Caenorhabditis elegans: one gene and its partners. Changing the gene in region 1 together with any one later gene gives a genetic interaction. Each region holds a gene or a part of one and is shown on either strand. Other genes may lie near its edges. The genes, in order: lin-25, egl-18 and sex-1.

Region 1 (3,755 bases):
GGTTGGGACTCTGGTTTTCAATATATCTTCTCCGGTTGGCAAGTATTCTTTTCCAATAACTCTTGCAAGGTTTTCAATGAAACTGGAAATAATAATAATTAGACTGAATAAAACCCAACGTTTAACTTGCTGAATTGTTGAGTCTTCAATATTATAAACAGTTTTATTCCTCAACATCATGGCAACTGTTTCATCTTTTATGTACATCTGGATAGACTTTATAATGTCTTTGCACAAAACATTTTCAGTCTCTCCAGTTTTATTGAACTGTTTCGTAAATATTCGGATTTGATTTAGGCATTCCTATAATGGAAATTAGTTTTGAAACATTTACCGTATTTCCTCTATTAGTTTTGCACCCCTTTGCTCAACTTTCACAGCTCATATCTCAGTAGTCGTTTGTTTTATAAAAAAGTTGTCAACTGATAAAATTTTTGCAAGATGTTTTCTAACGTTTGTAGTTTGTTAATTATTTATATGCTTAAAACAAAACGAGATATGAGTTGTCAAAGTTGAGCAAAGGGGTGCAAAACTAATAGAGGAAATACGGTAATTACTTACAATTGAAGATGGATTTTCGTAAATTAATTGTCTCCACATAATTGCCCAGTGTATCTCATCAATACCTTCCAAGATATTTATATAAATTCCATGTTTTAGAGCTCTTTTTTCTTCAACACTGTATCCTCCACAATGAAGAATTCTCAAAATTTCAATATTACAAACTACCGATAATATATTATCTAATTATTTTGAAAATCAGCTGAGTAGGTGATAATTTTTGGAAGCAACTGAAAAAATGTAGTTTTCATTGAATTTACCTTACTTGCTTGACTATTGTACTTTTTCCTGACTCTCCCGGACCTAAATATAATAAAGGTTACATTTTGATTATGTTTTTTTTTTTAATCAGGTACCTATGATAAGAAGCTTTAAAGCCTTCTTCTTACGTTCCTCGAGTATTTGTGTTTCGATTTTCAAGTTTTCATCTATCTTCAAAAATATATTTTCACTCAAAGTTTTACTTAACCTCCACCTGTTTCTTAAGTTGCTCTCTGCCGAGAACATGATTTTTGGCCGATGAAGAAAATGATGCACCCAGCTTTGAAAGGCTGAAAGTTTTGCCTAGTTTTTTTTTACAATAGTGGCTTTGGGTCTGATAAAAACACTAGTGAAAATTACGAATGAAATAATTTGAGACATGCTCAAGATATTGAAAGTTGTTATTTCCAAGTTTATATATAAACTTAAACTATAGTTTGAGTGCAAAGCACATTTTAGAAAATGTAATGTTTCCATGGTAACTTATAAACAAGTAATTAAAACAAGCTTAAAGTTTTTTTTTGAAAATGAAAAGTGAATGAAGCTGAATTAAATCGTCTTAAGAGATTGTTGGGGTGGCAGTTTGATTATTACATCTGAAAATTGTGTAGAATCATTGAAAATAAATGCCGTCCACGCCCAATTTTTCATTGACTCTGAGAAGTGAAGGAAGACATCCCTCCTATGTCAGAAAATGTACAATGGAAGAGGAATGCATCGTACCTAGTCCCCCAAGTAGTGGGGGACAATAAACACTCGGCCACCTCGCTCTATTGCGTGTCTACGTCTCACATCCATTTATACTATTGCACCGAATATTGGGTTAATGTCGGTGTTTGAATATATTTTGGTTACAGTTTAAATGCTTCAAATTTAAATCAATTAAATCATGAATAGTATCAAAATTGATAGTTCAACAAAAGTGAGTTTTTTTTTAAATAAATTTTTATTTTAATTTCAACAAACTTATTTTGTATTTAATTTTTTTTTAGATAGTTATTGAATATATTGACAAACTCCGCAATTGCTCAAATGAAAAACGACAAAAAGTATCATCAGTCATTCGTCCAGTTGACTTTCCCGGTATCTCAACTCAGCAGCTTTGTGGTTTGTTGCAATTCTTTTTTGTAATTGTATTAATATATTTTATTCAGATATTTTGATTCGGTTTGCTTATAATGGAACATATATCGATGATGTTTTCCGGGACCATCTTCTCAAACTTGTCGTAGATAAGGTACTCTGTAGTTCTTTGTTTTATTCCAAAAAATTATAAATTTACAGTCAATCACCTGGAATCAAGTCATCCACAGTGTGATAAATACAAAAACAGATAGAATTTATTCGAAATGTTTGCAATGCGAATTGATCCGGGAAATGGTCAACTATGTACAGTGAGTTGGCATTTTTAATTGAAAAATTTTGCCAAGTTTATTAATTTCAGAATCAAGTCATTTTCTGATAAATTGCATGCAGATGAGCTTATTTCGATTATGAAGCCGACTGTTTTCTTCCTCGCGCAACTGATACAAGTAAGATTTTTAGTATTTTTAACGAGCGATAAATGTTGTTTAAAGTTAAAAGCTTACATGTTGAAGGTTACCAAAATATATGTTCAAAATTGGCAAATGCTCTTTTACTACCTCATCTTTTACTACGTTGCTCTTTTACTACGGTTTACTCTTTTACTACGGCCGTATTTTTTACTACATTTTCCAATTTCGATTTTTTACTACGAAATGTATCTTTTACTACGGCCGTTTTTTTTACTACGGTTTCCGAATTTGATTTTTTACTACGATTCGTATCTTTTACTACGATTAACGATTTTTTACTACCTAATGAAAAAAAGAATATCAAAAGTTGGAATTTGAAAGTTACCTTGTAGCAGATTTTAGGTATAATTACAATTTCACTCTGAAATCAACATGAAAGTTTCATAGCTGTGTTCTTTTTCCAACTTTTGAAATATACTACTGTCTGAGCGGTTTTTAACTGAATCCGACGATATCAGAACGGGAAAATGAAATTTATGAAAATTTTCCAAACAAAACTATTTTGAAACCTTATTAGGCACTGATCAGTTATTGTAGAAAAATTCTCAATCTGTCGTTTTTGAAAACATTCCTGTCAACTTTGTGATTTGGCATAATAATAAGAAACTCGACAAGTAGGGCTCTATATACCCACATATCTTTTCGGACAGAGGGAATGCGAAAAATTAATCAATCGCAAACTTGTTAAGCTTAAGATAAGGAACACTTTTCCCGTGCAAACTATTTGAAAAAAAATCTGAATGGATCCAGATTCGAACCAGCAATGACTCTACTGAAGAGCGCGCGCTTTACCACTTCTCCAAACAGGCGAGTGGCGGCCGCGGTTCCAAGGAATATGTGAAACCAACCGAGCTGTACGAAGTAAGAAGCTTCCATTACTTTTTCAGATATTTAGTTCTGAAAACTTTGTCAACTCTCCTTATCAACAACTAAATGGTCCTTTTTGTAGTTATTTCTACTGGCAAAAAAGAGTGTGCCTGTAAATAATATCCTGCGTATAAACGTTGTTGTCCAGTGAAAACCTTCCCTTGACTTGAAATTTCTAGAAAATTGTACATGCATGTTGATACGAGATACAGAAATGAAACATTTGAAATTAAATTTTGGGCCTAAAATGTTTTTTCTCAAAAACCACTACAGTTCTTATTTTTCCAAGAGTGTATATAAAAAGTTTATTTTTTAAAATAATTTTTCGTATCAAAATCCCATTTTCCGGCTTCAAACGTAACGTTTTCGTCGTTTTCGTTATTGGCAAATCGAATTCGATCGAAATTGAAAAAATTCCGGAGTACGGTACATGTCGGTGTTTGCGTACTTTTGCGTACCGTGCATTTTATTCGACGACACTTCATATTTTTAAAAAGCAAAATTGACAAA
Region 2 (3,755 bases), on another chromosome or scaffold:
TGCGCAACTGATTCGGTGTTAACACGCGTGTGACGACGGCCCAAATAAAGGAAGGATGTTGAGGAAGAAGTTGAGGCAAAAAGAGAGAGACTTCGTTTCGAAGAGAAGATCGCAATCAACTCTTCTGATCAGCAGCCATCCAATCGAATCGATAAGAATGTTTGAAGATTACCATCTTCTCACTAACATCGTCACACACACACACACATACACTCACATTCTCCACTGCATTCCTTTGTTCGGACTCATCACGGACTCATCACCTCATCGTTTCTTGTGTTAGGACACCACTGTTTACGGGCTCTTAGACCGGTTATGGTGCATCGTCTCCTTGTCAGATGGACCACCAGGGTGTTACCGCCACACAGGTTCTCGGCAGGTGTTATCTGAGATTAGCTGAGAATTCAGCCTTGTCCTGGAAAATTGTTTGATTTTTTACCTGGCATATTAGCTCAGGGCTCGGTGAAAGCTTTTTCACAGATTTCTCCGCTCGATTCGACCAATTTTGAGCATTTATACCATGGGTGGCCGGCACTTGGCGTTTTGCCAATTTTTTTGTCGGTAAGTTGCCGGTTTGCCGAGTTGCCGGAAAACTTCAATTTCGGCAATTTGCCGATTTTCCGGAAGTTGCAATTTTTGCCAAAAAAATTCCGATTTGCCGTTTGCCGTACATAAGATTTGCCGGAAATCATAGAATTTGTTTACTTTTCAAAAGGATGCGTACACTTTTTGCCGATTAAAATTGGAATTCAGAATTTAAAAAAAAACGTGCAAATTCCCAATTTGCAGAAAATGTTCGGCAAATCGGCAAACCGGCACATTGTCGATTTGCCGGAAATTTCAATTCCGGCAGTTTGCCGATGTGCCGCCCATCCTTAATCTATACCGAAACTCAAATTTTCAAAAAAAAAATTTTTTTTTTAAATTGATAAAAACTATTGTAGCAAATCAAAAAAATGTTTAAAAAAACATGGCAAAGATTCCAATTTTGTTTTTGGAAATTTTGTAATAAGGTGTTTTAGAGACTTTCAAAACGCCATCACTTTGCTGTACCTGAACCGGGGCAGCTGAATTTTTCGGAGGGATCATTATTAGCACTTTTTTATCGAAAAATTACAACGGTTTTCCGGCAAAATCTGTTTTTTTCCAGCTTTTTTATGCAAAAAAAAAGACACCAATTTTGAAAAATTGATATATTTCGAGTTTCCTTGACACTTGGCACAGTTCCAAACAACTTCCGTTATCGACAAGCTAAAATTTGGCACATCTACAATTATCGATTAGGTTTAGTGTCGGGGTGATACTACGTGCATAATTTGTCGTACAACAACACAACAAATCGTCTCCCCTCTTCCCCCCCCCCCCCCCCCCTATCCACCTAATTTCCACGTTTGTCCGGCTGGGGGAAAAGGGGCGGAGACGGGCGGTGAGTAGCGTTCTTCTCCACACAATATCCCGCCCATTTTCTTCGCGTTGATCAGTGTCATTTTATGGTTATTTACTTGTTGGTCCATTCTTGTCAGTAAGGAGGGCCTCCCTTTTTAAAGTTTTGACCTATATTTTTGATTATTTTTTGTCTAGTTTCAGCTTGAACTAAGCCGATTTTAGGCCGAAATAGTCCGCATTTTTCTGATTCATAGCTTAAATTTAATCTCCAAATTGCTAATTTTGAGTAGATCCCTATGTTTATGCTACGTATTTTTAGCCCCAAATAGTTTTTAAATAGGCTTTTATTGATAAAAATTGACCCTTTAAGAATTAAAACTAAGCTATTTATCGGCCTGAATTCTCCATACAAAACGGCTATTTTAGGCCGTTTAGGCCGTCAATTTCTGGTACCTCCATAGTAGTACATTTTAAGGTTCAAATAAAATTGTCCCCCGAAAAATCAGTTTTTTAGTCCAAAATCACCCATTTTAAGCCCTACCCCAACTCTGTTCAGGTCAAAATTTTATCCTCGTACTCTCTTGATATTTTACTTCCCCTGCACATTTTCCCTCTAAATTTTCCATTTTTTGCAGTGTCTCCACACAGTCTATATGTCGATCAGCATAATGACGGAAACGAGACCAGAATCCGCCGAGCAACAACACCACGAAGTGCTCCAGAGGCCGTCAGATGAGCCGTGTAGTGGTTGCAAACAGTTACAGAAGGATGTTGCAAAGGTAATTTAGAGCTCAAAAAACCATTAACAATTAAAAAATTTCCAGACAATCAGCATGGTTATGGAGCGAATGGACAAACTTCAGTATCGGCTCGACGAGCTGCTCAAAGAGAACAATGAGCTGAAAAGCTCATCGGTCTCATCGGGAAAAGCCTCACCATCACCGGCAGAGTCGAGGAGCTCTCCGAAGCTTGTCGAGACAGTAGTCGCTCCAGTATCAGGAGCCCGGAAGCGGAAGCCCAAGGAGCGGAGCCCACCGGCAGCTGCGAGTCCACTTCCAGACTTTTCGAATTTGATGAACGGATTCATGTTTGATCCTCTGAATATGTCAAATCCAAATGGAATGATGCAATTATTATCAATGGTTCAACAGCAGCAGCAGCAGCAACAACACCACCAGCACATTGAGAATCAACAATCCGTGAGCCCACCACAATCGAAATCCGTGAAAATTGAAGATCCAATGGATCAGGATGTGAAACAGGAAGAGTCGGAGCGATCCGATATCCCGACGGCTACAGAGGCGCAGAACCTTTTGGATGCACTAACAGCACAGTTTAGCAGCAACGGACAGGCGGTAAGTGTTGAGGAAGGGCCAAAGGGGGGGGGGGGGGGGGGGCGAACAAAGGAAAGATATATCACCCCGGGAGGCGGCGTTCGCTTTTGAAAATCTACCGCTGCGCGATTTTTTTGCACTTAGGATTTCTAGGATCCTGATTGGATTTAGGATCTTTCGAGAACTTTGGGGAGAAGTTCCCGAAGCTCTATGATCGGAGTTCGCAGGGTTCCTTGAGGAGCCTACTTCTGGGGAAACCCTTGTGAAGGTCCGGAAGCTCCCAAAGTTGCTCAGGATCATTGCGCACCTTGACAAGCTTTAACTGCTGCCCTGACTTCCAGCGGACTTCCAGCGAGCCCTTGAAAGTCGCCAGGATCCATTGAAACCTCCCAGAGCTCCTTAGCTGCTTTAGGGTTTTTCAGGATCTTTGAGGAGCTTCTAAGATCCACCCTGAGTTCTTTAGGATCTCTGCGATCTTTCAGCAGCTCCTTCAATCAATCAATAAATACATTCACTCCTAATCACATATCAGTTCTTCCAGACCTCCACCACATCTCCACCATCATCATCATCCCAAGTACAAGCGGTCATCGAAGCAGTCGCCACACCATCATCCCAAAGCCAAGACAGTTCAATGTTTGAGAAAACCGAGACGAGTGGTGATCCGAACGCGGCGCGATGCTCCAACTGCCGAACCGACAAGACAACCGCGTGGCGACGTGACGCCGAGGGGAAGCTTGTCTGCAATCCGTGTGGGCTCTACTATCGATTGCACAAGGTTTGTTCGTCGTGTTATTCATTAGCAGAAAGATATTAGCAGCGACAGTAGAGTAGCAGCAGTAACAGCTTCTAATGGGGGGAATAAGAGAGTGTTTGTTATCTGATGCGAATAGAAGGAAACAACCTAGTTAAGATAGCGGCAAAATGAGGGGAAAATAGGAGTGAAGGAGAGGGGAGATTGAAATATGAGATTAGCTTCTTCTTCTTCTCCATCTTCTTCGTCTTCTTACTTTTTATGTGTTAGTTGTGCGACTG
Region 3 (3,755 bases), on another chromosome or scaffold:
TATCTTGCTTATGTATCTTAAATCGTTAAGAGTAGAGAAAAATGAAACAGCTGTTTTCTTTTTTTTCTTGGAAAAATGCCTGTGTAGATGGAAGAACATGGTGCAATAGAAACAAATTTATGAATTGTTCAAAAATTCGTCATTTTGAAGAAAGTACATCGACAGATGCACAAAATTTCGCAGAGAGTCTTTTATGCTTTAACAGTTCCAGCTGTCGTTTTGATGAATTTTCCATAAAGTACAAAGTTAGGGTGAAGTTTATTTGTGAAACGGGAATGCAATTCGTGAACTCATAAAGATTGTGCATGTTACTGAAACGTCTCTTCGTAATAGAAACCGGGGAAAAGGCATAAGTTGCATCATTAAGAGATGTTAGCTAGGGAAAGATGTGCACGAAGGTGTATTGTTATGTCCGAGTGTACAAGTGGAGGACGAAATATTGGTGATCTAGAATTCCGTTAGTAATTTAGATGCCTTACTAGTTACACAGTTCACGCAATAGCCGGCGAGCGTTAATTGTTGAAGTTATGTGCTATATTATGTGCCATTTTTGGAGATATTAATAATATTCACTCTTATTAGAGTATCCTCCCGTCCTATATATTTCATCTCCCAAGTTGTGTATGCGCAAGCGATGTGCACCAATTTTTAAAGGTGGTTGTAAACCGGCAGACCTCTTTCCAGACGGTGTCTTGTTGTGCGCATTCGCCTCTTCTCCTCCCCTTTGCAGACTGTTCATTTCTCGATCACAGTTGTCTCGTTTTTCATCTCCAACAATTGCGGACCACTGCATTGCCTCCTCTTCTCTCTCAGTCCGCACTTTTTTGGATCGATATTTTGTTTTTCATTGTGCATATCTCTAGTTTGTTGAGTTTTCTCTGTGTGATTCTTTGCAACTCTGTAAACATTATTATCTTACTCTTCTCACTACACGTCATCGCTTCCCAACATCTCGTCACTTCTCCTCACCCAAGAGGTGTCAATTCACACCTTAACATGATGGTGAAGTGAGCTCGAGTGGATAGTACTTCATCTCGAGCCCTCCTTCTGTTGCTTTATCTTACCGTCTCCTCTTCCCTAGTTTTTTCCTGTGAGAAAGGCACGCAACCATGCAACACATTGTGTATGGAATATCTAATTGCAAATTGCGCAAGAATTGCCTAGAACAACGCAATCATTTTCTCGGGGGAGAACGCAGTAATCTTGTTCGCTCAAACTATCTTCGTTTATTTTTGTGCGTGATTGTGGACTTGGCTGATCAATTTTTGCATCCATGATTTCTACCAAAAACTTTTAAAAAAAAAATGCACACATGTGTAGTAGCGGCTTAACATGTGAAGGACTATACTAGGTAGTTATAAATTGTATCACATCTTCTCAACCTAGTTGAATTTGTTGGAAACTTCATAATGCTTTTGGAAATTGTTCTATTCAGATCACTTTTGAATTTTAATTTAAGAAGTTGAACACGTTTCTTACTTTCCGGTACTAAAATATCAATTAAAAGGTAAAATTTTACTCTAAAACCATGTGTGAAGCTCACCTCATGCCACCCGTTTTTTTAATCGAAATGTGCTTGCTTGTCGAGCAATCTCCCAGTGGTGCACTCCTCCTCAGCTCCGCCTATCCTCCTCGTCTCTCCCCATCCTCTCACCCACAGGCAGGCATTCAGCGCAGATTAATACACGATACCAGCCTTCCTTATTGCTAGTTAATAGTTCCCTGCTTTAAAAACTAATTGTTGATTTCTAGATTCTAGCTTTCCATGTTCTCTTCATCAAATTGTTATCACGTTTTTCTCGAACTGCTGTTCTTTTCCTTTGTCAGCAGATTTTCCATTTCTTTCTTTTACCTTTCAGATAATTCTCTTACCAATTCTCTGTCTCTTCCCACTGTGAAAGTTGTCCGTTACTGCATTACTCAATAATTTTAATTTTCAGATGAGTTTCGAAACAAAACCTAACTATCTGTTACTGACAAATCCTGACACACCGCTTTCTGTATGCACATCTCCATACTACAGCCCTTCTGGAAAAACAGCTTCAATTCCATCATCAGAGGCAAGCAAACCAGAAGGAACAAATGGTCAATGGTCACATCTTCCGACTGGAGCTGTAAGTTTTTGTCGTCATCATTTTCATATTTTGTTCTGATTTACAAAGTTAATGCGTAGTTTCAAAATAGAAATCCAGGAATTAAACTGAAAACTAAATCTTCTCAATTTGCAGACGTACGTGACGGATGAATTCTCGTCAGAATTCCAAATCCAAAACGGATCGACAGCAGCTCAAAGTGGTAACGCCAACAACTACGCTGACCCTCTCTCACACCGTCGCTACTTCAATAACGTCAATGGGTACAATCACCATCAGTTCTATGATACGGCGTCACAAGCCAGCGTGAGCTCGCCGGCAACAAGTGGTAAGTTAGGGAGTCTATTTCTATCAAAATCTATCAGTAGGTGGGGCATATCATCAAGTGTGTGGTGACAAGTGGCAGCAACATCTACAGCAACACAGATTTTTTTCCTCACCTAAGAACATGTGTCTGAGAAGTGTTGCAAGTTTCCGAGTTTCTCTCGCCTTTTTTCTTTATTTCTCCCATTTAATTGATAGAAGAATGAGAGCAGAGAAAATGAAAAAGTCTAATAGACTTTGCAATCATTCTTCATCTCTTCCCTCTCTGGATCATATTTAGCTCGATAGGGACCAGATCAGTTGTGCTCTGTTCCACGTATCTTCCTGTATTCTAAGATGGCCTACTTTTGTACAACGAAAGTGAAGGCAAGCGGCTATGACGTGGTTGCGTAATAATCTCCAGGTTTCGTCATTTCTTTGGACGTCCGCTGCCAGACCACAGTGATGTATGGGTACGGTAATAAAAGAATGCCGATGGGTGAAAGAAGAGGAGAAGACGAAGTGTAATAAAGGAGGAGAACGTAGAGAACGGTGAAAGAGTGCGATGTAGGCGTGGTAAAAAGACTGTGAGAGTGAGAGAGACAATGAGAACGCATATGCCACAAATCTTGAAGATGTGGCTAAGAGCTTACTGAGTCGCGGAGAGAACGGGACCAAGGAAAACTAGGTAAATACTATCACGTCATCATTGAGAAGGAAACAAATATGGTGTGCACAGTGTACTTCAATAAATTTCACTGGTATACATAGCATGTTAAATCTGTAATCTGCCAAGTTGAGTTAAATTTGTATATTTCTGATGTGTAAATAAGTTTAGAAAAAGAATAAAACAGAAGAATTCGAAGAATCGAAGAAATGTTGTATGACCATATCACCCACTTGAAAATTGACTCTTCTAAAATTTCTTAGATAATTTTACATTTACAGTAACTTCATCGTTGTCTCCTCCTGATTCCTTATCAAATGGTCATACCACTCAACGTCATCACATTGGGAAGGCGATCTCATTTTGCAAAGTATGCGGAGACAAAGCAAGTGGATACCATTACGGAGTGACGTCATGCGAAGGATGCAAGGTAGGCATGAATGGTCCTAAAATGATCACTAATCACGTGGTTCTATTGAATTTAATGAAACCCTTCTCCACTCATAAATCCCCTTCTTGTTCTATTTACGAAACCTATATTTATGACCGTCTTATTTGATTTTTTGTTTTCCCTTATGTTAGACCAAGAGCGAGAGAATGAGCACTTCCCCAACACAAATTGCGCAATTATTTGGAGACTGTGTATTGCTATGTGCATTAAGGACTCTCTTTTCCCATTGTGCGAGTGTCTT

The links.
Region 2: of lin-25 (region 1) and egl-18, changing one enhances a phenotype caused by changing the other (phenotypic enhancement), as found in Caenorhabditis elegans (one large-scale study listed by BioGRID).
Region 3: of lin-25 (region 1) and sex-1, changing one enhances a phenotype caused by changing the other (phenotypic enhancement), as found in Caenorhabditis elegans (one large-scale study listed by BioGRID).

The regions. Positions count from the first base shown.
Region 1 is NC_003283.11:12,648,246-12,652,000, forward strand, and holds the start of lin-25 (Protein lin-25), read left to right. Parts: upstream 1-1,679; 5' UTR 1,680-1,711; coding exon 1,712-1,744; intron 1,745-1,814; coding exon 1,815-1,929; intron 1,930-1,976; coding exon 1,977-2,059; intron 2,060-2,106; coding exon 2,107-2,216; intron 2,217-2,266; coding exon 2,267-2,354; intron 2,355-3,755. UniProt on the Caenorhabditis elegans protein: Participates in the inductive signaling pathway downstream of let-60 Ras and the RAF/MAP kinase cascade to regulate specification and differentiation of many cell types. Positively regulates the fate of vulval precursor cells.
Region 2 is NC_003282.8:1,911,433-1,915,187, forward strand, and holds the start of egl-18 (Putative transcription factor egl-18), read left to right. Parts: upstream 1-2,013; 5' UTR 2,014-2,039; coding exon 2,040-2,165; intron 2,166-2,210; coding exon 2,211-2,741; intron 2,742-3,252; coding exon 3,253-3,498; intron 3,499-3,755. UniProt on the Caenorhabditis elegans protein: Probable transcription factor. Involved in embryonic development and in vulval development in larvae, acting redundantly, at least in part, with elt-6.
Region 3 is NC_003284.9:10,203,607-10,207,361, reverse strand, and holds the start of sex-1 (Steroid hormone receptor family member cnr14), read left to right. Parts: upstream 1-1,940; coding exon 1,941-2,114; intron 2,115-2,228; coding exon 2,229-2,421; intron 2,422-3,344; coding exon 3,345-3,493; intron 3,494-3,755. UniProt on the Caenorhabditis elegans protein: Transcriptional regulator which is involved in the sex determination and X chromosome dosage compensation pathways.